Linked DNA regions of Lonchura striata. The protein of the gene in region 4 purifies or fractionates together with the protein of the main gene of each other region. This does not show direct contact. Links are inferred from orthologs where the notes say so. Each region holds a gene or a part of one and is shown on either strand. Other genes may lie near its edges.

What was found.
Region 1: the proteins of MMS19 (region 4) and RTEL1 purify together in Homo sapiens (affinity purification with western blotting; 4 studies listed by BioGRID and IntAct, with this or other methods). This does not show direct contact. The link is inferred for Lonchura striata from reciprocal best matches to the Homo sapiens genes MMS19 and RTEL1.
Region 2: the proteins of MMS19 (region 4) and BRIP1 purify together in Homo sapiens (affinity purification with western blotting; 3 studies listed by BioGRID and IntAct, with this or other methods). This does not show direct contact. The link is inferred for Lonchura striata from reciprocal best matches to the Homo sapiens genes MMS19 and BRIP1.
Region 3: the proteins of MMS19 (region 4) and DNA2 purify together in Homo sapiens (affinity purification with mass spectrometry; 3 studies listed by BioGRID and IntAct, counting the BioPlex papers as one, with this or other methods). This does not show direct contact. The link is inferred for Lonchura striata from reciprocal best matches to the Homo sapiens genes MMS19 and DNA2.

What each region holds. Positions count from the first base shown.
Region 1 is NC_134619.1:7,176,215-7,184,025, reverse strand, and holds the start of RTEL1 (regulator of telomere elongation helicase 1), read left to right. Parts: upstream 1-4,776; 5' UTR 4,777-4,823; intron 4,824-5,907; 5' UTR 5,908-5,926; coding exon 5,927-6,028; intron 6,029-7,476; coding exon 7,477-7,675; intron 7,676-7,811. Other genes in the region: STMN3 (stathmin-3), read right to left, coding at 612-630. UniProt on the Homo sapiens protein: A probable ATP-dependent DNA helicase implicated in telomere-length regulation, DNA repair and the maintenance of genomic stability. Acts as an anti-recombinase to counteract toxic recombination and limit crossover during meiosis.
Region 2 is NC_134622.1:9,361,910-9,369,210, reverse strand, and holds the start of BRIP1 (Fanconi anemia group J protein), read right to left. Parts: upstream 3,383-7,301; 5' UTR 3,257-3,382; intron 2,282-3,256; 5' UTR 2,247-2,281; coding exon 2,154-2,246; intron 1,595-2,153; coding exon 1,483-1,594; intron 1,109-1,482; coding exon 914-1,108; intron 651-913; coding exon 523-650; intron 20-522; coding exon 1-19. Other genes in the region: INTS2 (integrator complex subunit 2), read right to left, coding at 4,977-5,146, 5,930-6,106, 6,269-6,374, 6,969-7,076. UniProt on the Homo sapiens protein: DNA-dependent ATPase and 5'-3' DNA helicase required for the maintenance of chromosomal stability. Acts late in the Fanconi anemia pathway, after FANCD2 ubiquitination.
Region 3 is NC_134609.1:35,120,248-35,128,001, forward strand, and holds the start of DNA2 (DNA replication ATP-dependent helicase/nuclease DNA2), read left to right. Parts: upstream 1-4,663; 5' UTR 4,664-4,737; coding exon 4,738-4,748; intron 4,749-5,685; coding exon 5,686-5,865; intron 5,866-6,253; coding exon 6,254-6,437; intron 6,438-7,719; coding exon 7,720-7,754. Other genes in the region: SLC25A16 (solute carrier family 25 member 16), read left to right, coding at 36-104, 1,663-1,819. UniProt on the Homo sapiens protein: Key enzyme involved in DNA replication and DNA repair in nucleus and mitochondrion.
Region 4 is NC_134609.1:18,895,170-18,902,838, forward strand, and holds the start of MMS19 (MMS19 nucleotide excision repair protein homolog), read left to right. Parts: upstream 1-4,435; 5' UTR 4,436-4,456; coding exon 4,457-4,571; intron 4,572-7,669. Other genes in the region: UBTD1 (ubiquitin domain-containing protein 1), read right to left, coding at 1-28, 256-483, 4,207-4,276. UniProt on the Homo sapiens protein: Key component of the cytosolic iron-sulfur protein assembly (CIA) complex, a multiprotein complex that mediates the incorporation of iron-sulfur cluster into apoproteins specifically involved in DNA metabolism and genomic integrity.

The DNA.
Region 1 (7,811 bases), on a different chromosome or scaffold from region 4:
ATGTGAGCTGTGCAAGAAATCTGGGGCTGGGAAGCCCGGAGAATACACAAAAACACATCCAGATTCTTCTAGTTGGCTTTGGGGGATATTTTTAGGGCATTTCTGACTCTTGCCCGTGTCTTCCTCTTCATTACCCATTCAGGCAACACATGATCTTCACAAAACAAAATGTAATTTCTGATTTCCTTGCATCCAGCTGCACTGTATGCAATTTTTTCTCGGGGGAAAAAAAAAAAAAACTCTACTATGTTACAAAAATAAGATTTAATTGGCACGTAGCAGCATCTTCTAATGGCACAATGAAATGTCAGCAATACTTTAAATTGGCAAGTTTATTACACGTGTATTCATATTAAAATAAAAAGCCCACCTGCTATCTTGCATCAGAGGGGTGTGTGTATGGGGGAGGAAGGGGAACAATGCTGCCATACCAGCTGCCTCCTCAGCACAGAACTCCCCCGAAACCCACGGAGGGGAAAAAAAAAAAAAAAAAAAAGCAGCAAAAACCAATCCAAACCTTCAGAATAATGATAAAAAAAAAAAAATAGAATAAAACTTGATGGTTTTAGAAGCGCATTGATGTCAAGCCCCCGAGAAGCCGCCTGTCCTACCTGAGACGGTGCTGGCCATGCTGCGGCGGGAGCGGAGCGGTGCTGCAGGAGCAGGAGGGAGCGCAGGAGCTGCGGAGGTGCTGCAATGCTGCGGGGAGGGAGGACTGACTCAGCTGGAGGGGGCTGCAGCCATCCGCGGCGGGGAGAGGCTGGAGCGCCCAGAGAAAGGCGAGGGGTGGAAAGAAAAAGAAGGGTCACTAGTTCAGAATATTAATGAGCGTATCAGGCCTCCTTTCCTGGGAGGCTTTGACGGCAGATCCCTCCCAGGCAAGCCTGCCTGCCAGGAACACAGCCCCACGGCGGGGGGGGGCGAGACACACCCAGCCGGGCGCGGGCAAAAGAGGATTTTTTTCCTCCTCTTCCTCCCTTTCTTGTCTGTTCGAGATGGGCTAAACTGTTTTTTTCCCTTGCTGAAAACAGAATTAAGATTTTTTTTTTTTTTTTTTTTCAAACCAGCCATTCCAAGGCAGCCTCACCTGCAGGGCCAGGTCGGGGGTCTGGCTTGACTGGGCTGAGGTGTGAAGCCCAAACTCCAAACCTTGCAGCAGCTTTAGGCAAACAGCAAAGGGAGGAGGGATCCCAGCAGGTTTTTAGGCATGGGATTAGTTGGTTTTTTTTTTGTTTTGTTTTTTTTTGTTTTTTTTTTTTGCACCAGCACTGAGGCACTAAAAGAGCTGCAGTTTGGGGAGGAAACTGCTGTAAAAGTAAAGGAGAAAGAGCAAAATTGAGCTTTTCAATTTCAGTGAGAATTCTCTGGGTTTCTCCTCCACCCTAAGCACCAGGACCTCTTTTCTTATAATTTTCTGTCTGTTCTTTATAATTTCTATCATTTCCATTTGTGGCTATTGCCAGGGGCCAATGCTTCTGTGCTTTTAGAGCAACACACACACACTTGGGAGCAAGGAATCCTCCCAAACCCACACATCTCCTGGCACGCTGCAATGCAGACACTCCCAAACAATTCCAGCTGCTGCAGAGAACCACAGGTTGTTGGAATACCTGCCAGCGCTCTGGCTTGCTCAGGGGCAGAAGCCACAGACACTGCCTACTAAATTCAGTCTGAAAGATTAGAGATTTTTCTACTTTCCTATTTTTTTCCCCAGTCAGTGCCCTAACACTGTCATGGGAAAAAAAAAAAAAAAAAAAAAGAAAAATAGAGAAAATGTCTAACTCATAAAAAAATTAACACTATCCACACGTTTTCCATGTGTTTGCAACGGGACTTTTTTTAATGACCTTTAACTGCTCCCTGTTTTGTCCAAGCCTTTTTTTGTAGTTCCAACTCTCTCTACTTTCCCCTTGGATTGAATCTCCAGGACTTGACAGGTTATCTTGTGTGTGTTTCAAAAACACCTTTGCCATGATCAGACGAAGGCAGCCATCCCAGGCACCTGGCTGGTGGAGTGACTTCCCCCTTCTGTTCAGGATGAACTCTGGCTTTGATATTCCCAGCAGTCCCAAGAGGGTCTGACTACCTCTTGCAACATTCTGGATCTTTTGGCATCAATCCAGCACACATTGTATTAATTTTATTGAGGAAAGGGTGTGGAATGATTTAAAGGTGCCATGGCTATGTGTCCCACTGGAATACACTGTGAGAGAAGTGGGGAGCAAATGATTTGGAGGGTCAAGGTGGAAAGCTGTGTTGTTACTTCCCAACAGTAAATGGACTGCAATGCTCTGGACTATCAGGATTAAAAGAAATCAGATAATTTGAGGGGCAAACAAAAACTCAGAAAGACAACAAATGGCAAGTCAATCCTCCTCGATCTGAAAAGAGGTAAATAACCTTCATGCCAACCACAGGAGTTTCACAGATGGCCCTCGTTGCTCTTTTGTCCCATTCTTGAAGATTCCTGCTCCTCTGGCAGCATCTGGATCTCATCTGGAAAGAGATCCTGCCTGGGCAGCCTCTGAACAAACACGGCCATTATTCACTTTGCACTTCTGCACATGATCAGTGTTCCCCTTGCTGGGGTCTCTGGTGTGGTTCAGCCTCTCCCCACAGAGGTAAAGGACCATCTTTCACAAGGTTTTTATTTTGTACATTCGTTTCTTTTTCTCGAAAATGAAAAATAGTGTATCCAAGACCTTAAAACCCAGGAATGAGTGAGAAGTGGAGATGGGGTGGTTCCTCCTGGCTGGGCTGGCAGGGACAGGCTGGGCTGGCACACAACTCTTTGTGGTGCTTGGACAGAGTTTTCAAATCTCTCCTTCCTCTCCAAAACTCTACTTTGTAAGAACTCAGGGTCTATCTAGGCAGACAAACACCAAGATGGCAATCCAGTGTGAGACCAACACCTTTATTTATCATGTCTTTATCCCAACAGATGCTGCAGCTTCACTAAACCTCCACAACAAAGAATACATTTTTCTCTGTAAGCTTACAACCATTTCCTGTGTTCTGTTTTCAGAAGGCCAGCAGTGCTGGAGGCAGCCTGCAGCCCTGGTCAGGTGAGGTCACTGGTGCAGAGGAGCAGCCTCCAGGAGCTGCTGATGCATGTTTGCTGCTGGACACGGGCACCTGCTGACTCACAGCCCACTCCTGCCTCGGGCTGCTCACCTCCAGCTCCCCTCTCTCAGCAGGCGACACTGCTTCTACCAGCAGCACTGCAACAAGGCAAAATATTCTCCTTTGATACACTTCTGATATTGTTCTTCCACGTGGGAAAGATGTGTTTACAGGAAATAACGATAACAGAGTATTCCATGTATTTCTGAGGAGTTTTAAATAATTTTTTCTCCCCTAAGGTTATCCCACATTCTCATTTCACCATCTTGACAAAATGATCTCTTTTGCAGCTTCATCATGTGTGACTGGTATCACAGTGAAGAGTTCAGTCAGAAACATGAGCAAAACCAGCTGTTAAATTTTGTGTGGAGCACACAAAGTTCCACAGGAATAACTCAATTTTCCAGCTCATTCCCTGCAATTCAAGACAGCTTATGATCCAGGGAAGTTCAGCTGAAGGAATTTAAAGGCTGGCCACCAAAACAGCAACACCCATGAGCTCCCCTGACCCAACACCATGACACAGGAGGTACCACGAGTTTGGGAGCAGAACAAACCACACAATGTTTAACTTATATAGTTTAAGGTTTGCTCCTTTTAACATCAGAACCCTTCTACACACAAACAAGCTGTGCAGCTGGTCAGGAGTAAAGCATTTAAAAGGTACAATAAAAGAAGCCACATCCTGTTCTACATCTATGCAGTGACAGCATGAGACACGGCAATAAACCACAGAGATGAGTACCAAGTATTTTCTTCCTGCCTTCTTTCTCATATAGCTGCATAAAACACAGTTTTACAAAATTTGGGGATACAAGTAAGCCATGCCTATACATTTATTAAAACCAGATTCTTACAAAATTGGGTAATCCATCAATCCAGAGCAGTTCACCACAGCCACACGGCCTCAGCACCTGGAATGTGCCGACAAACCCTGGATGTGCCTGGATGCACTGGCAGGGGACTGAAGGGTGGGAGCAGAAAAGCCGGGAACAAAGGAGCGGCACATTCACCCCTAACAAAAGAGACCCGTCAGAATTCATTACCGCTCCTAAGGCAGGAGCTCAGCACAGAGGCACAGATCCCTCCCACCTCAAACGCCGCGGGTTCCACAAAGAGCCCCGCCGTGTCCTGCCCTGTGCTGCGTGCCCGGGGAAGCGGAGCCCGGGGAGCGGAGCCCGGGGAGCGGAGGCCGGTACAAAGCGCAGCAGGGCCCGGCACACGGGCTCTGCCCGGGGGCACCGAGCATCGCTCGCTCCCGAGCCGCCCAAAAGGGGACACACGCCGGGCCCGGGTGGCCCCGGCGCAGGGCTGGGAGGCTTCGGGAACGCGGCTTTTCGCCAGCGAGCAGCCGATATTCCGCCCCTCCGCGGCCGAAGCTCGGCCTCCGCCCCCGGGGGAAGCGGCTGCGGAACCGGCCGGCTGAACCACAGGGAGCGGAACCGGCTTCCTGCAGACCTGGCGGCGCTCAACCCCCAGCGGGCCTGCGCCGCTCCCGCCCGGGCCCCGCTGGCTCCCCGACACCAAGGCCCGGGCTCCGCCGGGCTCCCGGGCCGGGCCCGCCATGGCCGCCGCCGTTACCGGGGCAACGCCGCCGCTCCCGCGAGAGCGCGCGCAGGAAGTGACGCGCGGGACGCGTGAGGGGACACGTGAGGGGACACGTGACAGCGGCGCGGGGATTCCGAACGGCGCGGCGGGAGGTGAGGGAGCGCCGCGACACCGGGACAGAGGACGGGGGGACACCGGGACAGGGGACACCGGGACACCGGGACACGGGACAGGGGACACGGGGACACCGGGATACGGGGACACCGGGACAGGGGGACACCGGGACTCGGGGACACCGGGACAGGGGACAGGGGGACACCGGGACTCGGGGACACCGGGACAGGGGACAGGGGGACACCGGGACACGGGGTCACCGGGACACCGGGACACGGGACAGGGGACACGGGGACACCGGGATACGGGGACAGGGGACAGGGGGACACCGGGACTCGGGGACACCGGGACTCGGGGACACCGGGACAGGGGACAGGGGGACACCGGGACAGGGGACGGGGGGACACCGGGATACGGGGACACCGGGATACGGGAACACCGGGACAGGGGACGGGGACAGAGAGACAGGGGGACAGGGGGACACGAGGACACCGGGACACGGGGACAGAGGGACACCGGGAAACCCGGAGCTCAGGGGTCTGGGACCCCGGGAACGCGGGGTCACAGCGATAGAGCACACGGGGACACGGTAGCCCCGGAGCTCAGGGATGTGGGACCGCGGGCCGGAACGGGCGGTCCCGAGTGCCCGTGTCCCTGTCACAGTGTCCCCATGTCCCTGTCACAGTGTCCCCATGTCCCTGTCGCTGTGTCCCCGTGTCCCTGTCGCTGTGTCCCCGTGTCGCTGTAGCGGCCCGGAGCGGTGTGACCGAGCCGCTCCCTGCCGTGCCTGGAGCGGCCCGCAGCGAAGCTTTACACGGGCCCGGGGTGCCAGGACAAGGGGAGCGGCTGCAGCCCGGCTGAGGGCAGGGGTAGGTGCGGTATTGGGAAGAAATTCTTCCCTCTGAGGAGGGTGACAGCCCTGGCACAGGGCGCCCAGAGAAGCTGTGGCTGCCCCATCCCGAGTGTCCAGGTTGGACGGGGCTTGGAGCAGCCTGGCGCAGTGGAAGGCATCCCTGCCCACAGCAGGGGTTGAATGAGGTGAACTGCCAGGTCTCTTCCAGCCTTATCATGGCACGGTATCACCAGGACAGCAGGGTCAGCATGGTCTGCCCTTCCTTGCAGGCAGCTCAGGGAAGGAGCCATGCCCAGGATCACTCTGAACGGGATCACGGTGGATTTCCCCTTCCAGCCCTACCCATGCCAGGAAGCCTACATGGCCAAGGTGCTGGAATGCCTGCAAAAGGTGAGCGAGTGTCCAACTGTGTGTCATTGCTAACTGCACTAAATGGTTTCTCTAAGAAGAGGTTGTCATAATTCAAGTTTTCTTTACGTGCTTTGTATGCTTCCTTTCCAAATCTTCTCTGACCTTTTACTTGTATTTTTATTTTACTCTGTGGTAATGAAAATCATGGCTGGCAGGTGGCAGTCAGTAGAAATATAGATGGGATGTTCCTGCCTAAACTGGGAAAAGGAAGAAAGACTGCTTGTATTCATGCAGTCTGTTCTTGACAGATTACAGAATCATGAATGGTTTGGGTTGGAAGGGACATTAAAGCTCACCTTGTTCCACCCCCTCCCATAGGCAGGGACTCCTTCCACCATCCCAGGCTGCTCCAAACCCCCTCCAACCTGGCCTCGGACACTTCCAGGGATGGAGAAGCCACAGCTTCTCTGGACAGCCTGTGTCAGGCTCTCTCCACCCTTACAGTGAAGAATTTCTTCCTATTCTCCAATATAAACCTACTCTCTGTCAGTAGGACTCCATTCTTCCTTGTCCTGTTACTACAGGTCCTTGTAAATTCTTGTAGCCCCCTTCAGAAACTGGAAGACCCCCGTTAGGTCACCTTGGAGCCTTCTGTTCTCCAGGCTGAACAATCCCAATTGTCTCAGTGTTTCCTCATAGGAAGAATTTGGTCTTATCTTGTTAATATTTGGACTATTTATATAATTTTCCATTTTCTGTGCGAGAGGATAATTTTAATGAATGAATGTCAAAATAATAAAATGGTTTTTTCGCAGTAGTTATCTTTTTTTTTTCCTGGACACATCTTCATGGTCCCTGTTCTGAGGGACCAAGCAAGCTTATTGTGGGAACTGTGGCTTTCCACCTGGCTCTGCTGTGGATCACGGTATCTGCTTGGTGCCTCCTCTCATCAAACTCAAAGTGTTGTGAGCTCATGATAGAAATTCCTTTCACACTCTTGAGCTCAGCTGCTGCTTTTTTCCAATTTTTAGTATTGTCACACACTTAAAAATTATAACATCCTGTAGGTCGAGGTGTTCCAAGTGCTGACAAAGTTCTGTGCCTAAACTGCCATGGGATACAACCTTAATCCTAAAGGAAACCAGCACTCTGTTAACTGGGAGCCACTTTCTGGGCTGGTTTTTCAATAACTTCTCATATTTTCATTTAATTCAGTATTTTATAATGAAACATGATACACTCGAATGGCTCTAAGAGTGGAGAATTGAATTCCTATGCTAAATAAATCCGTTGGCTGGTTCTGGGTGTTTGATTGAACCTCATTAAATTAATTAGAGGGTCCTACAAGTTGATTAGACCTTGTTGTGTGGGTGTTCCTTGGTGGGGCTGCCAGCTGGTGTTTGCTCCTTGGCAGAGGACATGCAGTGCTGCACTAAGACCTGTCCTGCTGAAGCCTTAAATCCCTTTCTTATTTCTCTCCAACACAGAAGGTAAATGGCATTTTGGAGAGCCCCACAGGCACAGGGAAGACCCTGTGCCTGCTGTGTTCCACCCTGGCCTGGCGGGAGCACTTCAAGGACACCATCTCAGCCCGGAAAATCGCGCAGCGCATGAACGGGGTGGAGCTCTTTCCTGACAGACCACTGTCCTCCTGGGGCACTGCTGCCACAGATGGAGATGTCCCAAGTGAGTACCACCACCTCTGCACTCAGGGGTGGTAGTCAACACGTGCTTTTATCTGTCTTTTATAATAAATATATCTGTCTTTTATAATAAATGTACAATTATACAAGTTACAGAGCTGTTGTTGAGCAGCTGAAGC
Region 2 (7,301 bases), on a different chromosome or scaffold from region 4:
ACTGACGTTTTCTAACCTGCTGGGGAAAGAAACAGTGTAAAAATGCACTGGGCAGAGGGATGTGCTCACACTGGCAGTCCTGGTTTTGTTTCAGCTGAGTCTGGTTTAGTAACTGGGCATCAACACTTTAACCAAGTCTAAGCCACACAAAAGTCATTAAGGAAAGCTATAAAGTTTTAATTATAAAAGAATCTGTAGTTATTGCTGAGCTTTTCTGCTTTGCTTTCTCACTGTTACAAAACTTACAAGATTATAACACCATTAACTGGGAATAAATATATTTTGGGGATATTACTTGTCTAAATGTGAAAGATTTTAGGACAGGGTATAATGAACAATGTATTGCAACAATGGACTCTTTTGTAAGAAGTAACAATAAAAATGAACAAAACCCTGTCACTCTAAGCTGTGACTGTGATATGATTCACTTATTTCCCACACCCTCCTCTGTACCATTAATTGGATTTGAGAGTTTGGTTGAGCTACACCCGGATTATTTCACTGCCCACAGACTCTGCTCACCTGCTGCTCTGTTTCCAAAGGACGAATCCTTTTTCTGTCTGCTTGAAAATCATCGTTCTCACTGGCATGAAGAGATAACTTTTTTTTGGCAGACAGCTTTGAAGCTAGTGTTTCATTTTCCTTACATTCTGTAATTAATAAAATAAAATGGATATCCACTACTAGGGATGCATTAAATAAGTGCAACATTTTAAAATACAATTTCTAAAGAATAGTGACTGCTAGAAATACTATAAATGTATATGGTGTAGGAAACAGTGTTAGACATTTCTAGACACATTAACCACTGTACAGATTTCATATAGGGCAGAAGCATGGCTGTATTATGATGGTAAAAAAACATCCCTGGCTTGAAAGCAGCAGAATTTGATCTGCCTACAGATGACGTTACCTGTGTTTGTCAGTGGGCTTCCAGGTTTTCTGGAAGTTCCTGTATTAGGATAATTGGCAGAACAAGGAGCACTGTGAGTCCCACTTGCTGAAGCCTCGTTGCTCTTGGGCTGGGAGTGACACTTGCAGTGACACGGTGGGGACGGCTCTGCCTTCCTGTCCTCCTTGTCACACGATGAGGTTGGCACTGGTTTCTCTGGGGGACAAAGTCGTTTGTCTGTCATTAAACGCTCCAGACTCGACACGAGAGCCAGAGGTGCACAGCAGTGAAGATGAAGTTCAGGTACCAGTCAAGCTGGACAAGCTGTGGTCACCCTCTGAAGAACTGCAGTGCACAGAAAGGAAAACACCTCCCTCTTCCCATTCAATCCACACAACCCACAAGGATTTTCTTCCAAAGTTCCAACAGCCACATTCCCTTATGGGATCTAAACTCAGCTCAGCATTACTGCTTTATGCTGCCATTAAGGTGGTGGACCCAGACCTGAAACTAAATGTTTAAAGGCTGAAGAAAAAAAAAAATTCTTTTATATTTTGTAATAAAAGTTGTGCAGGTACTAAGACACTTACCATACAAAGCCTGCTGCCATGATAATGCAGAACAAAGTAATGCCAAGCTTTTGCCACTTCCCGTGGGGCTCTCCAGCAAACAGTGCTGCCTGCTATTCAAGCCTTTAACAATCTTTAAGGAGCATAAAAGAAACAGAATTAACAGAAAACAAAGCAGATGTTAGCTAATCTTAGCAATAACGCCCTAATGTCCAGCCTAAACTTTCCCTGGCACATCTTAAAGCTGTGCCCGGTTAAAACATTTTAAAAGTGTTTAACTATAAATGCAACAATCCATTTAGAAAAGTTCCTCAAAAAAATGAAAACTTCTTGGAATATTACTATACATAATTATTCTATTTAAACAATGTATTCCCCCCCTCTAAAATCTTGAACATTTGCATACAGCTGCAATTTCAGCATATCTAGATGAACAACCACATACTTCCACCACATGGAACTTGTTTCTTGGCATAAATGCTCCCAAATCCAAAATGTACCTCCCCATTCCCTAATCATGGCCCAGATACTGCACAGCACAGAGAACACTGAGGGGTTACCACTGAAATTCTCAACTGCAAGCTCTGAATTTAATGCATCAGCTTTCTAAATGCTGACAGAGATCCTGGAATTCCAAATACTGGAAAACACAAGCTCTTAGTCTGGCAAATGCCAGTGTAAACTCTACTCACAGCGTTCATCATGGCGAGCTGGGAGGGATAAGCCTTGCAGGGGAAGAGGATCTTCACCCCCCCAATTGTATATTCTGCCCCATCAGAAGGCATTGCCAGCTTTTCTCCCCTCTACTTCAAGTTTAAAACTGCAATTAAAAATACAGAATTAATAACTCAATGCTAGCAAGCAAATAAATAAATAAAAAACACCATGAGCTGCACACACCAGTTCAGATTCCATTAGTCAGACTGGAAATAGAGCCCAAATCCACGCAGGAACAGCATTTTAGAATATGAAATAACTAAAACCAGCCAGTTTTTTAACTCTAGAGGTCCATCAGCTTGAACTGCAAGATGTCATAAACTACAAACATACAGAAGCTTGCACATTTTATAATAATGAAAAATAAATCTTGACAATGACTTTAAAAATTAGATGCTTAAAACTTTCTTCCATAAATAATACAGCAATTAATCAGGAGAAAAGGAGCATCGCTTAATTTACTATTCTGTGTTTATTTCCTTGAATATCTTGGAATAATAAAAGACTGACAATTTCCCTGTGTTAAAAAGGTGAAATTATTGAACGAAAAATACTAAAGAGGCATAAATGGCTTTAAGTTACAATATTTTTGAACAACATAGCAGGATTTTTTTCTCATAGTTTTTCAACATTGACAAAGTAAGACAGCAACTTTAAACTGGCAGATTCTCTGGGATAAATTAACTCATCTGACTTTTAATAATTAAATATATACATCAGATGTATGGCACGATTCAGCTTCACCATCGAGCAACCCTATAGGAAAAACAATTCTAGCAAAAAACGACGGCTGACATGAGTTTACATCCAACCCCTCCTTCCAGAAGGAAAGGCCACCTCACTCCAAGGCTTTTCCCTAACCCATCCTGAGAGGAAGGCTCGCTTAAACGAGCAGAACTCCCCACGAAGTTTGCCCCTGAGGAGGAGGGAGGCCCGGGACACCGCAGGGACCCTTCGTGCTGTGACCAGAGCCACCAGGCACTCCCCGCAGCGACATCTCGAACCGGGCAGAGCCGCTTCGCTGCCCGAGCGTTTAGGAAGCGGTGGGGCCGCCCCAGCCCAGCCCACAGAGCAGCACCTGGGCGTTCGCTTCCTCTGTGCGCTCGGCGAGGCGGAGGCGCCGGCAGCCGCTTCCCCCGCGCCCCTCACGGCCCCGCACCTGCGACCCTCAGTGCCTCCGTCCTTCCCGCCTCCGCCCCAGCCAATCAGCTGACAGGAAAGCGCCGCGCGCCGCCAATCGGCACAGCGCACACTGGGGCGCTCCCGCCTTCGCCTCTGCGCGCCGACAGCCAATCACAGGGCGCGTCGTTGGCTTCCGGGTGGCACGCGTTGCTAGGCAACCGCGCTTTTTGAGAAATACTCAAATATTTATTATTATTATTGGCCTTTATCATTAGCATTACGGCTAATATAGTTCTTATTCTTTTATTTTGTTTTATATTTATTATTTTTATAATATTTTATATTAATTGAATTTATTATCATCATCATCATCATCATCATCATCCTCCTTGTGTTAAGCAGAATGCACAGAAAACGCCACAGAAAAATTAATAGTTTGGAAAGTGTCCTTTCACTACTGCCACACACAGCTCCTGTTCTTGTCAAGTGTTTCCCTCAGGTGAAATTTGGGATGAACATGGAAATTTAAAAGCAAAACAGAACACCCCCTTTGAACTTCAGTCATACTGTTGTTGTTTTTTGAGGTTTTTTTAATTTAAATACCACTACAGGATATAAAATTACACTTGGAACTGAGGAGAAAAAAAAAATACATACATTTAGATTATTTACATAATTTACATAAAGATGACAAAAATACACTCGGCAGGCAGATGGCGACGGGGGTGTTACAGCAGGAACCCTGGAACACAAACCCACGGGGGTTTCCCACGTTTCCATGTGGGGAATCCCAGCCCTGTACACAAAAGAACAACCAACTCCATGATGGAGCAGAAAGGATTTGGCCTTGGAATTACTTTGGCACAGCTGAAAGCTGTCCCTGCCCTCCCTGCCTGCACAGTCACCCTCAGCATCCATTTCTCTTTCCAATCTTATCCTGATGACAGCTCAAAACACCTCTGCACTCATTTCCTCAAGTCTTTTTCATCTCTTTTTTTAAAGTTAAAAACCACAAAACCATCTGAGCTGTGTTCTTTAAAATCCCATTTATATGGCTCATTTCTACTATCAGCACTTTTTTTTTTTTTAAGAAACTTTTAGACCAGTTTCAAACTCTCAGTGAAGCCTGGTTGATCTTTGAATGAAGTTCCTGATTTCATGAACTGAAGCTTTGAGCCATGGTTTGACACACAAATAAATCTTCTAATTTTCTGAAAACTCAGTATGATGGTACAAGTTTTGACACCACTTTTTCAAGTATTGCTTGGAGCACTTTATTCCAACTTGCTCTGCAAGGCCCTGGAGCAGCAGCTCATTCACCTCAAACTTCAATATCCAATTTTTCTCACTTATCATTTTGCTGTTTGCCCCACAAAATAAATATTCACTTTGCAGTGTTACAAAACCCTTTCAGGTGTGTTGCTGTGCCACTCCAGGAGCTGAGCAAGCCTGAAAATCACAATTTTTTTTTTGAAATTATTTACTGATCCCTTCAGCCTCAGAAGTTCTCACATAATCCTGTTGAAGGGATTTTCTTCTCAGCTGTGACTGATTCAATGAATGAAAAATGTGGACTTTGCTCCAGCTCCTCAGTCCACTTTCACAGCTTTTTCCAAATTTAGGCACCATGAAGAGAGGGAAAAGCTACAGGACAACTTTCCTGGAGTTTTTTTTTCCTAAATTCCGCTGACACTCATGTTAATGATTTCGATGATGGTGTTTTCCACACACTGGCACAGCTGAACGTCGGGGTCCAGGCTTGCAGTGTCCCTGGAGCAGCTTTTGCTGGAGAAATCTTTACAGAGCCCTGAGAAATCGTGTGGCTTCTCCTTCAGCTGCTGGAGACCTAGAAAATGCAGCAGGAGAGGCAAAATAAATACTGAGAATTGTTATTTCCAGCCATAAATATGAGATTGCAAAGCTGAGGCAGCACCATCCCATGCTCCACCAAGGTTATTTCCAGAAACACCATGTCAGAATCTGAAATACTCTTAGAACTTCAGGCTTGTAAGCTAAAGTCTAGTATTAAACACAAGATTTGATGTGAAACTTTAGAAAAAGCTTCCAAACTTAAATACTAGTAGCAAGAATATTTATTTATAGTTTACAGCAAAACCACGTTAAACTAAGTAAAAAAAAAGTTCAAAGTTTTAAAGTTTAAAATATAGAAAAAATAAAAGTAGTTACAGAAGCAAACAAGAAGTTTAAAATGCAGTACTGTTAAGTTTATGTATCATAACATAATTAGCTAAAGTCCATAAGACGAAACACTTAAAGATTGAGTCAAAAACGTAAATATCCTTATTAACAATATTTTATTAATCAATAACTCCTTAAAAAGAAAGGTCTTGTGACCTTCTAAATCAAACTATAATGATATAAACTGAACTCACCCTTCTTACCTGTATAAAATATTAAAAAAATGAACCACATCATCAAAACAAATTCAAAAGTCCCATCTCAAATTCCTTCCAAAACTCCCTACAAGTAAAGTATCACAATACCACGACATTTGTGTAAATAATTAAGTAAATTAAGTAAGTAATTAAGTAAATGACCACAAGGCCATAACATTTCTGTTTCATTTCCCTGTGCCTGACCCCTTTGGGGTGCTAAGTCCTTGACTTACGGGTGATGATGGGGTCGAAGTCTCGAGTCTGTGTAGCAACATCAGAGGCACAAACTTGTCCAATTTGGATCAGCAGGGACATGATGTCCTCATAGAGGGGGGGAAAGGCTTGGCAGAAGGACACCAGGCAGGGCAGGGTGGGCATGAAAAACGTGTAACGCTTGGACTGGGTCAGAACTGCCAAGGAGGAGGAAATGCAGAAGTAAAAATTGATTATTATAAAATCCAATCAAAAACTGTTACTTTTACAATAGCAATTAGACAGACAAAACTGCATTCAGCCTAGAGAAACCCTCCTGGCTCCCCCAGCAGTGGATTTTGGGGTGCCTGGGGTGGTACCTGTGAGCAGGGTCCCCATCACATTGATGGCCAAACGAGCCACGCTGAGGGATTTGGGCAGGGCATACTGGATACACAGGTAGGAGAGCAACTGGATGGCAAAGATCTGCCAAAGGAGAGAAAAGCAATGAAGTTACAGCATGGTTTACAACTTCTATCCAAAGCTCTTCACCACACTTAACAGTAAGTTAATATTCCCTGCTTTACCATGAAGGAAGCCAATTGAAGCCTTAACAAGAGCTATTATGATTATTTTTCTGCTGGTATGAAGAAAAATAACCCACACATATTTAATATTCATCCAAGTGTTTCAAAATCTCCCCGAGACTCTTGCTCCAACATTAATGATGAGCAATAAAGCAACACACAATGTGCAACACAAGCCTTGCAGAAGATATTTAGGTCTGATCCATTCTAGTTTTAATCTTAGCTGATCAGCAGTAACTTAATACCAGAAAGGATTAAATAAGAACAACTACAAAGTTGGTTTGATACAGAAACAGGGAATCTTTATTCCAACAAATTACAGTTGCCTTCAATGCCAGGCTTTAATTTAATGTAGAAGTGCTACAAATATTCCCTGAATATCCCATGCAAGCTAGAACAGGATGTTTTTAGTGTCTATTTATTCTCCCCCCTCAGCCAGCATTTACTCAGGGTTAGTAACCAGTGATTCCCCAGCCAGGGGAATGCTCAGTACCTGTTTTTCCAGTTCAGGCTGGGCAATGAGCTCAGGAATGAAATCCAGACAGATGTGCATGGATGGGATCCCAGCCACTGTCAGTGCCAGAAGTTCACATGGATAACCCTGTGGGAGTTAAGGAAAGAGGGGTGCCAATGTGTCACAGGTGTGTTTTAAAAATTCTGCTTCAACTAAGATTTTAAAGTACACTGCGTTAATGCTTTGTTTCAAAATTAATATATTTATAACTCCCTTTTGTCCAGAGTTTGCAGCAGGCCTGTAATGCCAAGGCAACAAGAGGCAGACTGGGTACAAACCCAGGGTTTGGATCATTTCTTCAGATCAATATTC
Region 3 (7,754 bases), about 16 Mb from region 4:
CTGCTGGAGCTGCTCTTTCAATGTCTTCTGTGTAGATATCCCCTGGATGTAACTCGGAGGCGAATGCAGTTAGGAGCAGTTCTCCCAGACTCTGAAAAGTGCCTGTAAGTATTTCCTTTTCATCTGTACTGAGTTTTTGGATGTCTGAGCTAAGTTCAGTTCTTAATTTTAAACTTTAAAAGAAAGCAACTACCATAAGAAAACAACTACCCCTACCCCCTGAACTACTGTGCTGTTGATTTTTTCATTCTTTTAATAAAGATGTTTCCCCGCAGACAAAAGCTACCATTTTCAACCTGGGATTAAAAAAATACCTGAAATAATATGGCACCCTTGTTAGTAATCCTGTATCTCTACTAGTAAAATAGTTTTTTGTATTTTAAGGCAACTTGTACTACCTTTAATACCAGCAAGATCTTTAAAAAGAGACTGAATGCTTCTACTGAAATTTACTAATTTCAGAGTGTATTTTAATGGTGCAGATTCTGTTCCTTGAGATCATTTTGCATAATACAATTTTATTTGAGCTTTTTTTTGCACTTACAGTAGTCTCCCACACCCTACACATTGTTGAGGTTCCTCCACTAGAAGTGGAAGCACCATAATAACTTAAAAATCCTAATAGTATTAAATCAGGTCTCATCTTGAGAAACTTTCTGAATTTCAAATTGTCTCAATCAATTTCAATTCTTGGACAGCTTTCTCTTGGTTAGTTTCCATCTTGTGGAATTGTGTGTGCCTGAATCCAATGCAGTTCACTGTGAACCTCCTGTGTGGAAGGTTGGATCCTACCGAGAGCAGCCTGAGTGACCTTTCACAAACAACCTTGATATTGCTTAACTGTGAAGTGTGAAGGTTCTGTTCTGTTTTCTTTACTAGCTTTTTTTTTTTTTTTTTGGTTGTGTTATTTTCCACTCCTGATGATTTTAAAAGAAAAATGTGTTCATTGTTCTTTTTACTTTTCGCATTTGTGAGGACTGCTTTTACAGACCTGAGGCTTCCCCATTTAACAATTTTGATGTGACCATATAGAGGGATGTGCTCTGAAGGAGAGACACAGGCCTGTCTTTAGAGGATGAGAGGATAAAGCAAGCAGGAAGTGTCAAAGCTTTGGAACATATGGAAGATGCTCTCCAAGAGCACTGTCTTCAATAGCATGGAAATACCAAGCACTTCAAGTGCTTTCTATTTCATATCTTCTTGGTTTCAATACAAGTATGTGAAGAAAGTTCTCTTTGCACATACAGTTCAATTTCTGCTTTTAAAAAGGTAAAATACTATATACTCAGGTTATTAATTGTAAATGGAATTTATGCTTTTCTGCTCTTTTCCTGCCAGTTAGGCAAGACAGTGTGTGGAGCTGTTCTGGTGTAAAATACTGTAATATGTCTTGTAGGGCAGGTGTTTTCAGGCCAACACTATTTTAGCTGGGACTGCACCATCCTCTTTCCAATTCCCAGTCCTTGGGCCCAAATTTGTTGCAGAAGTCCAGGTTGTCTTTTTAGTCAGATGTGGCTTTTTAGTCATACGTGGCTTTGCTGTGTGGAATGCCATGGGTTTTTCTGCATGGATCTCTTAAAACCCAAGTAAAAAGTATCTTATATTTAAAGAACATGATTTTGATACTGAAGATGTGTATCCACAAATGATTTCTTTTTCTAGTACCATGGTGCAGACACTGAAATATGTGTATCAACAACACGGAGTACGAAGAGGACTGTACCGTGGGCTATCCTTGAATTACATTCGCTGTATTCCTTCCCAGGCCGTGGCTTTCACCACTTACGAACTTATGAAACAATTCTTGCACCTCAACTGATTCTTTCTTTTAGAAGACTTTTCTGTAAAACTACACTATCAATCCTCAAATGATATTGATGAATAAATGACTTGAAGTTTAAAAAAAAAAAGCTTTCTGTTACTGTGGACCTGCTGTTGTCTGACATCTTTATTTGCCAAAATGTGGTTAGTTTCCTGGAGTCCAAACCAGGTGACACATTAAAATAAACATTAGCTAGATCTAAACACTTTTTTTTGTACTTGATCTTTTAGGCTTCATTAGATGAATATTAGGAATGACACAGTTTTGGAGGTGACACCCACGTTTTATACAGGTTCCAAGCTGTTATTATTTAGCTGTAGCACCATTCCAGGAGTTAGATGCTGCTGATTATGCTGCTTTTGAAGCTAGTAATTAGGCATGTTGTTCTTTAAAAATTAAATGGAATAAACTGATTTGAACATAATGCAATGATTTTGGCATTCAGATTCTTGCTAGGTCTGTAGAAGCTGAACTTGGCAGAGCACACTTTAAGCAGCCTTTTATTCTTGCTCTGTACAAATTTTCCATATGCAAGAACAGATTGCTGCCCAGGAAAGTATCTTCAGCCATTTCAGCTAGAACCAGCAAGATGTATTTAGCAGTATTAGCTATCTTGCAATTTGGAAACCAGTTCCTTGGGGTACATTCTATTCTAAGAAAATGCTGTACTACACAAATAAAAGCAGGGGGATTTTACAGGGATGAGTGCTAGAAAAGATGTCCTTGTGGCAGGTAGGGCCTAATCTTAGAGAACTTTTCTGTGGAGCTGCATGTCTTGGTTTGCTTTGTTCAAGGCTGAGTATGTTATGTACTTCCCAGTACTAGCTGGTGTAAACTACCTTAAACCATGGTGCCAAAGAAGACTGCATGTTGCTGTTTAGGCATATAGACCACATGCAACCTCACACAGAAAAGAAAATTAAGATTGTATTGGCTCCGTAGGTATGTGTATGTACTGTTCCTGAAGTCATGGTATGCAGTAGATTATTGCATGTTTGCCTCCTCCTGTAATTCCTTTTCTGGAAGGAATTATTTTATACATGATTTGCATTGGTACTCTTGATTTTACTCACTTGATTCAGGAAACTATAAAACATTTACTTCATGTAAGTTATTTATTTATTGTACATATTTTAGTGTCTTCTAAGAATTGGCAAGGGTTATATTAAGTGGTGGATGGTAAGACTGATTTGCTTAATTTTGACAAATTTAACAAACTGGATTTTCAGTTGTTTGTTCAGTACCAACTTATGTGGCTCAATTTTCCCCCCAGTTTCTTTAAAGTATGTATTTATTTGAAATTTACAGTATAGCAATGAATACAGAGAACGAAATGTATCAGGATATATTTTATTAAAATTTTTGAACTAATATCTTTGTGTGATTTGTGTGTGTTGCAGCCAGGAGGGATACATGTTTCTGGAATGATCTGTTTGCCCTAATAGGCACAGCATTGTAATTCTCAATTAAGTGACAACAAATATGCTTTTTCATCTGATCTTTAGTTTCACATAAAGGAAAGCTAGCCAATATCACAGTGAACTTTTACATTTTAAAGTTCTTGCAGTAGAGATAAATCCACTGTATTAGGAAAACTAAAGTGTCTTTCTTTTTTCTACATTGTTTTGCTATGTGAGCAGATAAGCCACTTGTTTTTCATGTGTATACTGTTAGGGACTATTAAGTTAAGAGTTTTACATCTTAATTCTACTACCAGGGATGTATTTGAGGCATGTCATGATAAGTTAAGCAGTTTTAAGGCAGAATAAAGCAGAACCCAGCATGTTTATGCCTGAGAGGAAGAGAACATAAAAAGTATCTCCTAAATTCTTGTGTCTGGTATTGAATGTGAAAAACATACCTACTTGATGGAACTGTGCTGTATTTTCAGAATTAGGTTTTTCAAAATAAAATTTAACAGTGTATGAAAGTATTTTAATATTGATTCCTGAATTTACAGTTATATGTGGAGAATGCTGATGGATCTTTAAACGGCAAACATTTTTCACAATCTCTGATTTCAGAACACTTGTGTCCAACTTTCTCCCTAGAGACTCCCCAGACTGATTGCATGGCAGATAACTTCAAAAAAGATATTTCAAGCATATTTTGTACTTCATAAACCTGTTCTGTTGAAATATGTATTTTCTGGTGTATGGGAGATAGATAGGCAGCATCCAAGACTACAGTACAAAGGTTTAGCAAGTGTTCAAAACATTTATATAATCTCAATATCACGCCACATCATGACTGCATTTAATATTATCAACAAGGAACTAATAAGTTATAATTAAGCTTCTGTTAGAGAATAATGTTGCAGTGGGAAGCAGCATTAATGTAATTTACTGCATATATTTCAGGACTATCCCAAATAAAACTGAAACGGCTAACCTAAGAATGTTCTCACCTTTTAAAATTCGTCAATTTGAACTCGATTCTTCTGTTGGGATGTCTAGCCATGGGCCAAAGCTGTCATTTCTGCAGCAGAGTGAAACCTGTGTATCCGAAACGTCAGTGCCACCTCAGAAAGCCAGAGACCACACCTTTCTGAGGGGAAAGGCTGGACTCTCGGGCTCAGATTGGCCCATAAGTGAATTGGGAGCGGAAGGCACGTCTAATATGGCCCTGTGCCACCGCACCAGTGGCGGCAGTGGGGCCGGGTGCGCCTCAGCGCCCTCAGCGCCCTCAGCGCCGCTTCGCGCCTCCGGCTCGCGCGCGTGGGAACCGCCCCCTCCGCCGCCTCCCATTGGCCGCGCGGGGCGCGCCGGGCGGGGCTGGCGGAGCGCGCGGCGGCGCTGCGGGGGCGCTGGGTGCGCTGAGTGCGGGCCGGGCCGAGCCGGGCCGAGCCGAGCCGAACCGAGCCGAACCGAGCCGGGCCAGGCCGGACCGAGCCGAGCGCCGCACGGGACCTGCCCATGGCCGAGCGGTAGTGGCAGAATGCGGGGAGCCACAGCGGGGCGGAGACGGCCGGGAGCGCGGGGTTTGAACTTGCAAACCGCTCCCGGCTCCGGGCGCGGGAAGGCGGGATGGGGTCTGAGGCCTTCCTCGGCCTGGGGAGCGCTCGGGGCTGCCGGGATAGCGGGTGAGGGGGAGCCGCCGGGATGGATGGTGAGCGGGAGCCGCCGGGATGGATGGTGAGTTGGAGCCGCCGGGATGGATGGTGAGTTGGAGCCGCCGGGATGGATGGTGAGTTGGAGCCGGCGGGATGGATGGTGAGTTGGAGCCGGCGGGATGGATGGTGAGGGGGAGCCGCCGGGATGGATGGTGGGCGGGAGCCGCCGGGATGGATGGTGAGTTGGAGCCGCCGGGATGGATGGTGAGGGGGAGCCGCGCTGCCTCGGGTGTTCGCGCTGGGCACGGCGCCGCGGGGCCCTGGCGTTCGCTGTGCCCCGATCGCTCCCCAGGCATCACTCGGGACAGGAGAGCGCTGGTTTGGCCGCTCTGTCTCATGGTTTGGCTATTGGAAACTTAACCTTCAGTATGAGTTTTCTAAACAACTCAAGGTCATGGGTAAAACGTACCGCTCCGTGCTCGAGGTGTTTGTGTGGCTGTGGGAATTCATGCGCGCAGGGAGATAAAAGCTTTCTCACAAGCACAGTGTTTGCAGTACAGTTATAATTAGTTTACTAGTGCTTATGGATATGTGGACCCAAAAATGTAATAAATAGCAAACTGCTTAATATTTATAGAGATTTCTTACTCTTTACCTGTACAGAACTGAAAAAAAAAAAACCCAAACAAAATATTTATAAAAATTGAAGGGGAGTAAAATTTGGTTTATGGTTGAAGCTATCTCTCTTTTTGTATGTAGGTCGGCTATTTTCAAAGAGTACAGTATTCTTTGTAATTAGGTGTTCCTTCAGTTTTCAGAAGAAAGTGTCTGACCTACCTCATACGATCCTGAAGAATGGGCTGAACAACAGATACCGAGTGCTGGAGGTCAGCGTAATACAGAGAAATGGAAGTGACCCTGAGAAACACTTGACAATTACAGCCTCCCCCTCACTGGAAGATACAGAACTGTGCATCCTTAGGAGTGGCTGGTAATCCACACAGATACATAGATGTTTGAAAAGAGAATGAAATATTGGATTATTAACTAAATTTTGTTTGTGTTGTCTGTGAGTTGAGTTTTACGGCCTTAAAAGTGATATGGGATCCTGAAAGAACCTTTGTTTAATGTGATATTATCAGTATGCTAGCATAATGGATATCATCTTGAGAGGCCTGATGTTGAGTAGGCATTGCTACCTTGCAGTTTTGTCATTGTAAAAATGCCTTTATTCACTTTCAGGATTTCTTTAAGTCAACTTCTTAAAAGAACCCAACCCAGCATTTCAAAGAATGTTGAATCTGCTCTGTTAATGTGTAAGAAAATACGTTGTGTCTGTTATTTGCAAACATTGGTTGTATGGGTGTATTGCCTTGCAGGGAGTCTGTCCCGGTGGTTCCAGGGGACATTGTTCATTTGGAAGGGGAGTGCAGCTCTGGCACCTGGGTCATCAGTGCCCAGAGTGGATACCTGGTCCTGTACCCAGACCTGCTGCTCTCGGGCACCACCATCTCCAGCAGTATCCGCTGCATGAGGAGGGCAGTGCTGAGTGAGCGCTTCAGGGTGAGTGCTGATTCCACACTGCCAGTGATTTACTGTTCCACTCACACCGGTGGCCTAGCCCAGTGTTAAATCTGGCTGTTAGAAATGTCCTAATTAGCAATTCATAATGTTTGCAACATAGAATAATTTAGGGTGGAAGCTGTCTTTGGTTGAACTTCTCTTGTTTTTTTGAGACTTGCATCTGAAATAATGCAGTACTCTTAAAACGGCTACTGGTCTAAAGAACTGGGCTTTCCACTTATAATTCTGATAATTTTTTTTATAATCTCTTGCTGCATTTTGTGTGGATATGAATCCTTTGTGAGGGATTTGCCTGTTGCCATCCATAAGAAAATATAACCACACTTTGCCAAATTAACAGCTTCTGAAAAATTTAGTTAATTCAGTTAATTGGTGTGGGCTGACTCTGGAGTCTGAATTCAGCTGCTTGATCTTGGAAAGAGGCAAAGTGTCTTGTAGTATCCTTGCTGATACATGTGAAATATGCTGATAAATAGGGAAGCAACAGCTGCCAGTTTCAGCTGATGAAAACTTCCAGACATGGTAGGAATATAAATCCAAATGAATAAGGAAATTTTAATAGAGTGGTAAACAGCCTGGCTGGGAACCTGTGACTGGAACAAGAAAATTAAGTACAGGAGATTAAGACTATGAAATGGTCTTCAACCTTCTATTAGAGGAGTAAGGGGGATAAAATGATTGTTGAGTCAATGCACAGGGTCCTGACTGGGATAACACCATCCACTTGTTGTGAGTGAAGTTCACTGGTCTGTAAGAGATCCATAATACCACAGTGTTTAGGTTTTCAGCTATTTGGTAGTGACTTTCAGTTTTTGTGAGTCTCCAGAGCCCAGCCCTTCTGATGGGTTTCTGAGCCATGTTGGTGATACATGGAATGATTTTGCTGTGAGCTGGTAACAGACAGGAAACTGCTTCGTGCAAGAAATCTGTGTAAGATTGTAAAGATTGTGTTTGCATTAGGAAACGCCTGCAGGCAAAACTTTCTCAAAGTTTTGTTTTAATCTGTGCCTTTGTTTCTCACCTGCCAATCACATAGAGATTGCATCCCGACATTGTCAGGGTTGGGATAGGAGACCCACTTCAGTTCAGCTGCTCTCACAGGCAGGTTTGGCTAGATAACCATTAGTGAGGTGAAAGCTGTCATGATCTTATAGTTAAATAAGTGTAGGTCTTGATGTGCAGCAAATATTGCAGAGAAATTTGGCAGAGAAGTTGGCATGAAATGGGCATAAATCTTCATGTCTGATGACATTTGTTGCAGGGCTCTGAGTCAGGTTCTCACCAAATGCTCGTTGG
Region 4 (7,669 bases):
AGCTCATCATAGCACTCCGTCAGGGACCCTGGGGACAGCAGGATAAGATGCTAAGGGTGGGCATCCCCATGGACCACTCAAATGGGGACAGGGCCACCTCAAGCAGTATGGCACAGCCTGCCTTACTCCCCCTGGCTGGACTGAGCTCTGGATAGCAGGTGGGAGCCCCTTTCTACTCCAGCCTGAGACCCCCATGTGCCCAGATACGGGGCACTCAGCACACATCCCATGCAAACCCCCAGTGCTGACCCTCACCATGGGGCAGGGTGATGCTGGCTCCATCGAGGATGGCCTGGGCCAGGCTGTGGTCATTGGCTTCTACAGCATAGGCAGCTGCCTTCAGGGCATCCCAGATCTCCTTGCGGCCTTCAAAGGCTGGTGCCGTGTCCCAGAACTCGTCCCGCTTGCTGCGCAGCTGCCCGTCTGTCATGGGGTAGTCACTCTTCCACTTGGGACACTCCTTCTTCAGGGGCTCATTGCGCCCTGCAGAGGGGGGATATTCAGCCAAAGGACAGGGTTTTCCCTCAGGTCCTGAACCTCCCACCTCCCCATAACCACAGGTTCTTCCTGGGAATCTCCCGCACCCCAGCAAGGGTCTGAGGGATCACCCTGTCCAGTGAACAACAGCCCCCAGTGTAGCCAGGGGTAACGGGGCTAAAGCAAGCCTGGCCCAAGATCCCACTGGCCCCACAGCAGTTGTTCCCCCAAGTGACACCCTTTGCCCCCAGAGGGGACAAGGGCTCTTGCTTCCTTATTTGTGGGACCAGCCACTGCCCCCTAGGGTGGCCACAGGGCCTCAGGGCCCTTTGAGGCAGAGCAGTATTTATAGCTTGGGGAATTAGCCAGGAAATAAGCTGGTGAGTCGGAGCGAGAAGGGGATTACAAAGGCTGAGCTGCAGCAAAGGGGGGTCAGGACTTCACTGTCCCCTCTGCCCACCCTGGGATGACAGGGACCAGCTGCAGGCAAGACAGCATCCCAGGCATCAGGGGAACAGAGGGCATCACTGACAGACTGCAGGTGCCCCAGCAACGAGCTGAACTGAACTGGCTCTCCATGAAACAGCTCCTAGCCACATCCCCACAGACCTTCAGCAGCCAGCATTGCCCAGGGGCTTGAGGCACCCCAGTGCCAGTCCCAGAGCATCATGCCCTCACTACGCTGGGCTGTGGCCCTGTGGGAACAGCCCCATCTCATCAGTCCCACAGCCAGGCCGGACACGTGGGGCAGGAAGGAGTTGTCACTCCCAGCTGAGCTGGGGACAATGAATGATAACAGCTCCTTCCTGTCACCCCCCTCCCTGAGCTGGCCCGGCAGCACCCCTCCTGTGGGGACAGGATGAGGGGAAAGTGAGGCTCCAGCTGGGCACAAAGATGCCTGTGCCCACACAGCGACCTGCCAGACAAGGTGATGCCACACACCCCAGGCACCGGAGACAGCCACCACTGCCAGCTGTGGGCTGAGCCAAGGTGCCCAGGCAGCTGCTCCTGAGCAAGTGTGCGGTGACACAGAGCGCTACGTGACCTTTTTGATTGTACCGACCCTGCCTCACCCGACCCAGGACCACTAGAGCCAGCACAGCATCTGCTTCCCAGCAAGCACCCACCTCAGGGTGTGCCCAAGGGGCACAGGTGCTCAGCTACCCCAGGGCTGGGCACCAAGAATCCCTGGCAGGCAGCATCCATCCTGCCCACACCCTGGAGGAGCAAGGGCAGCCGACTGCAGCCAGTGCTGCCGATTCAGCAGTCACGGTGCTGGGCCAGAGGGATTTGCAGCACCACAGGACATGGCAAGGTCAGAGGCAACACCTGCCCCAGGAGGGCAGCGGAGAAGTGTCCACAGCCAGCCTGAAGGACATGTCTGGGATCATGTCCCTACACTGCTATGGCCACCAGGCTGGGGCACACGTTCCCACAGCCAGGACTCCTGGCCAGCACTGCCAGTCAGCACCATTCCCCCAGCTCTGCTTGCAACAAAGGCTGGCCCAGGAAAGGAGCTGTGGGGGTCGGCTGTGGCAGGGACCGGCTGTGGCTGCCTCGTGTGTACAGACATAACCAGCAGCCTTGCCCAGGTAGGCAGGGGCTTAAGCCTAGTCTATTTATTGCTACCGCCCAGCTGGGCCTGCACCTTCTAATCACCTCCTGCTGCTCTATTCCTAGCCCCTTGTGCAACTCTCCACAGCAGCACCACCAGACAGGTCCATCCGCTCTCTGTGCCCGGACTCGAGCCAACAGGATCTGGCTGGCAGCCTGCTGCCTCCTGCCCTGTGCCTGCAGCTCCCTGCCCGTGGCTCAGCACCCTGCAGTGCCCTCGTGAGGGACCCCCGGGCAGAAGGATGTGACCCAAAGGCTTCCCTGCCCTGGGCCTGCTCCCTGCCTGCAGGAGCCTTAGGCAGCCTCAGATGACAGGTCCTGGAGGCCCCAGAGAAGATGTCAGCCAGAAGGCACACACCACTGCTTCCAGCAGTGCTGGCTGGTCCACTCCCGAGTCAGGCAGGGTTGGGATGCTGCGTGCCACGGGCATGCCCAGCTCCTGCTGTGGTAAGCTGGCCACCCTGGGGACAATGCTGTCACCTGCTTCTGGGAGTCATCAAAGGACCCCTCCACAGGGGGTCACAACAAGCCCCAGCCAGAGCAGGAGCTGGCCAGGGAGGTGGGATGCTTAGCAGAGTCCTTGAGGCAGCAGAGGTGGGCAGGCAGAGCCCCCATCCCTGCTGATGGTAGGTCCTTGTGTACTGGGACCTGCTGGCCCAGGGCACTGTCCCCATACTGCTGGTAAGAGCAGCTGTAGCCTTGCTTCACCCCCACCACTTGCTGAGCAGCTCCCATGGGCTGGTGGAACCATGCAAACAAAGGTAGGAAGCAGCCAGGGCACCTGGCACAAGGGACAGCCTTGCTCTGCCAGGAAGGGACATACTGGAAGAAAGCAGCAGCAGTGACTGACAGCGGTATATCAGGGAGGGACCACGACCCATCCCAGGAGAGCAAGTGGGGATGGAGTCACAGGCTCTGCAGCCAGCTGTTGCCTGGCACGAGAGGGGATCACACAGATCCAGATGTTGGGATCTCACCCCATCCCCCATCACATCCTGATGCTACAAGGCAATGGCCCCACATTCCACCAAGCTGAGGGAACAGCCAGCCAGGAGCCCCAGGCCTCACCCATACCCGCAAGAAGGCACTGCTGGGGGACAAAGCGTGTCGGGGTGGGGGGGGCCATCACCCCAGTACATCCCAGCAGGGCATCCCCGGGGCAGGCTGGCACACCTGGAGCCCCACGCGGCGGGGGCGGCTGCCCACGGCACGGGCACAGCCCGGCCCAGCAGCCTCGGCACCCTGCACGTGCTGCCGGAGTGGCGGGCAGCGTCCCACGGAAAACGCCCTTCCCTCCCGCATGCCAGCTGCAGGCGAGGGCCGGGGCGTCCCGTCCCGGGCACACGCTTCCTGCCCCTCCTCTCCGCCGCCCACTACCGCTCTGCCATAAACACGGTAATTACCGGCTGCGACGGCACCGGCCGGGGAGGCGGCAAAGGAAAGGCGTGATTCATCCTACCAGCCCACGGCTTCTCCGCCGAAAGTCCACCGTACCCATCCCCGCGGCCTCCGGGACCCTCCGGCACGGCATCACGGGGAAGCGCCTCACGGCACCCGGGTGTTCGGTAACTCCGGGGGCCGCGAGGCTGCACCGGCCCCGCCGGCGCTCCCAGACCGGCGCGGCCGCTCCCCGCCCCACCCGCGGCTCCCGAAGCCCCCGCCGGCAGCAGCCGGGAGAACGGGACAGCACGGACCGCGGGCAGGCAGGACCCGCCGCGCCGCGCGGGGGACGCTGCCGAGCCCAGACCGGGGCAGCCGCCACCCTGCCGTCCTCCCAGGACGGCACTTCCCGGGAGGAGCCGGGAACAGGCAGGGCTCGGCTGGACCCGCTGCGCACCCCAGCCCTGACCCCGCAAAGCCTCCGGGGCGCCGGGACGGGAGCCGCGGTTCCCGTCCGCTCCCGAGGCCCCGCACCGAACCGGGATCCCCGGGGTCCGAAACCCCGAGGGCACAGAGCGGCTCCCGGGGTTGTGCGAGGGAGAAGTTGTCCCGTGGCGAGCTGCACCTCTCCGGTGCCCACGTTCCCCCGGCACCACCCCCAGGGGGACACCGGACCCCCCTCCGCCCCAGTGCCCGCGATCGCGGGGGCGCCCAGCCCGCAGGACCCCCGCTCACCTGCTCGCTTGCGGGTGTTGCCGCCGGCGGCGGGCCGCTCCCGGCGCTGCCGCCCCACGCAGCCGCCCATGGCGGGGCCGACCGGCGGCGCTCGGCATCGGGGCCGCGCCGGCTCCGCGCTGCGCCCGCCCGTGCGCGCGGGGCCCGCTGTGCGCGCGGGGCCGCCCCGCCCCCGGGCGCACGTGACCGCCGGCACCGCCCCCGCGCACGCGCAGGCGGGGGGCGGGGCGCGGCCCTGCGCGCGGGTGTCATGGCGGCGGCCGGGCCCGGGCCCGGGGCCGGGGCGGAGGCTCAGGCTCTCGCCGCCTCCGTCCGGGACTTCGTGTCCGGGCAGCAGGACGGCCGTGCCGCGGAGGTGGCGGCAGGTACCGCGCGGGGGCGGGGCGGGACTGGGCGTGGGCACGGCAGCGGAGCCGGGCAGGGCCTGGGGCGGGCGTGGGCACGGGCGGGTCGTGGCGGTGTGGGGAGGGGTTTGTGAGGGAGCGTGGGGCTGGGCTGGCCGGGCAGGGTGTGGGGACGCGGGACGGAGCGTGTCTGCGGGTTGTGAGGCTGCCGTGCGGGGCAGGGCACGTGGGATTGGGTAGGGCAGGGCCTGCAGCTCGGAGCTGCCAAGGAGGTGTGCGGTGGGTGAGGGGCTCCAGGAGCGAGGCAGGTGTGGCTGGCAGAGAAATGACTGTGGGACGATAGCTCATGGCCTTGCTGAGGGACCGTAGGAGGTGGCAGTTGCAGACTACCCTCACTGTGGTTTCTCCCCCTTTCCTAGCAGGACTTGAGGCGTTTGCTTTGGTCGGATAATTTATCCTCCTCCTTCGAACAGCAGTTGGGTGACTTTGTTGCATTAGGGAAGTTACAGCTTCAGGACTGTGACTTTCTAAGGATAAGGTGATATTTTTGTGTGTGTAGGCAGTGGCTTCAGCATGTTTTGGGAAGGAGCTCTGAGAGCCGAGAAGGGCTGTCTGTGTATGTTACATTACACACACGGGTGGCTTCTAGGTCTTTCCCAAGGCATGGTGGTTTGTGAACTGCTATGTGGTGTCTTGGTGATGAGATGAGCTGGCAAAACAGAAAGGTAACCCAGTGGCCCATGTAACACAGAGTGAAGAAATTGCCAAGGAAATTTGTAGAAATTCATTAAACTACATGATATTCAACATGTTGCAGAAGAGTTACACAGTCTCCAACATATTTGGGATATACGTGGGGAAGGATAACCTTACAACTGTTGTTATCACCTGATGTCATGTTACAGAAGTGCCTGGAGAAAGCTTTGTCTCTTGGAAGACATACAAAGAGAATTCCTCCCCACTTGCTTCTCCCAGCTTTTTTCAGCCATGTGGCTCTTTTGACAAAGCCACCTTCACAAACAGTGGGGCTGGCAAGTGTCCTTGAGCCCTTCTGACCTTGTACAGAACCACACATCAGAAAGGATTAAATTGCTTTGTGTATCCTTGAGCAAAAGGATAGGGAGGTCTTTCCTAAGCTCATGGCCATTGTGCAATTGCTGTAACAAACACATTGAGCTTCACCGGTTTGTTGCTAAGGACTAAAATGAGCGTAACTTGGCAAGTGGCAGAAAAGCCTTGGTGCTGTCACATGCAGGTTGGGCTGCATGGGTCACTGGCTGGCAGGAAGAGGCTGATTTCATCTTTCTTAAAAAATGGGGAGAGAAGGATACTGCTGCTACAGAATCCATTACACATTCCCTGTGAATGTTGTGCTTACATTTTGAAGGTATGGGAGAAACAAGAATGGAAGTCCTCCAGAAGCAACTAATACCTAGAAGGACACTGAAAGGGGGAGAGACCTTTCAGGAGAGAGAGCAGGTTGGTTCAGAGTAGCAATCCAGCACAGGGTGAATGGCTTGTTTCTGTTAAGTCTCTGGGAGCTACAGGAATGCCAGAATAGCAAGTCAGCCCCTCTTGGTAAAGGGATTCAGGGTGCCTAATTAACCTTGGGGCATATGTGCTGCTGCCAGATGTGGAGGTAGCAGTTTCAGGGGCTCACCACTGTGCCTGCCGTGCTGATGAGGCAGGTCCAATTAGCTGTGCTCACGCTGTGGCCTGTGCACGAGCACAGCACACTCACAGGCTGTGTCAGGGAGGGGTGGCCACACCATGTGAGGCAAAGCTGGTCACACCTGGTCCCTGAGAACAGAGGGAGCTCCCTTGCTGAGCAAAGGAGCTGCTGACCTCGGGGTGTATCAGTACCTGACTGTGGTTTGGCCATCACACGGTAGCTCTTTCTGTTGAGTAGGGAGCCAGAAGCTTTGTGTAGAGCTGCTTTCAGTCTCTGCAGACACAGAGAGGCAGAGCACCTGGCCACAGAGATGGCATTTGTGTCAGATTTTTTCTCTGATGGTGCAGAGGCACAAGGGCTCTTCATGAGCTTGCAGAGCAAGATGTTGGGATGCTGGATGTGGAGGAGCCATCTAAGCTCTCTCTGCAGCCCACTCTGCTTTGGCTTGTGCAAAGCATTTCCTTGCTGTTTCACTGTTGTTTTTCTGCAGGAAATTTTGCCAGCATGTCATGGCTGTCTCTGAGGGTGCCCCCTTTTCAGTCTGTGCCCGTCAATTCTGAGACCTGCTGGGTTCTTTATCCACACAGCTCCCCTTATCTGTTCTGTTTCTCAGCTCAGGCTCCTTTTCCCTGCTGCTCCAGGCAGAATTGAAAGCTCTGTCTCTGGAGTCAAGACTGCCTGCTGTCAGAACACACTGTCAGAAAACGCTGTCATCTTGTCCCTAGAGACAGCCCTATGATGAACAGTGTGTCTTAATGGTGGAATTAACTGCTTAGGAAGAGACAGTAAAGGCTTGCAACAGCAGGAGACACTAGCAGGAACAAGGCCTGGGAAAGCCCATAATGAAACCTTCTGAGAGGGTAAGTTCCCTGTCAGTTGTGCAGGTTCAGCAGGGCAGAGAGGTGAGCAGGTCCCTCCAGAGTGCCCAAAAGTATCCCTGGGCAAAGACAGTGAGTCTTAGTGACTGCCAGGTGATTTGGGTTTTTTTCTGGAGGAATGCTGTTTTGTCCAGGCAGAAAGTGAGGGGTGCTGCTTGTTTTCCAGCAATGTCACTTGACACCTGAGCTGCAGGTTAGGGGTCTGAAAGTAAGGCAGTTCCTTGCCTGCCACCCTATGTCTGAGCAGAGGATGTACACAGAGCTTTCCTTCTGGGGAGGTGCCACAGTGGCAATGGGTGGCAGGAGTGGAGAACCTGCCGTTCTGCCAAGGTTCTTGTACAGTGCAGCAAGTCCTTAGCAAAGCCTCCTGAGGAGTGACTCTTCCCCCAGTTGAGTTGCAAGAATATGGAGGTAGTAGGTGAATGAGGCAACCTGGCAAGGAATCTGAGTCAGAGTTGGAAATAGACACCAGGAATCCCAGCATTTTATCTTCCTCTGACCACAAAACTGCCTTTCTCCCTGCCCATCTTGGAAGAGGTTAGCGCAGTTTTGCACAGTGTGGAGGTGCT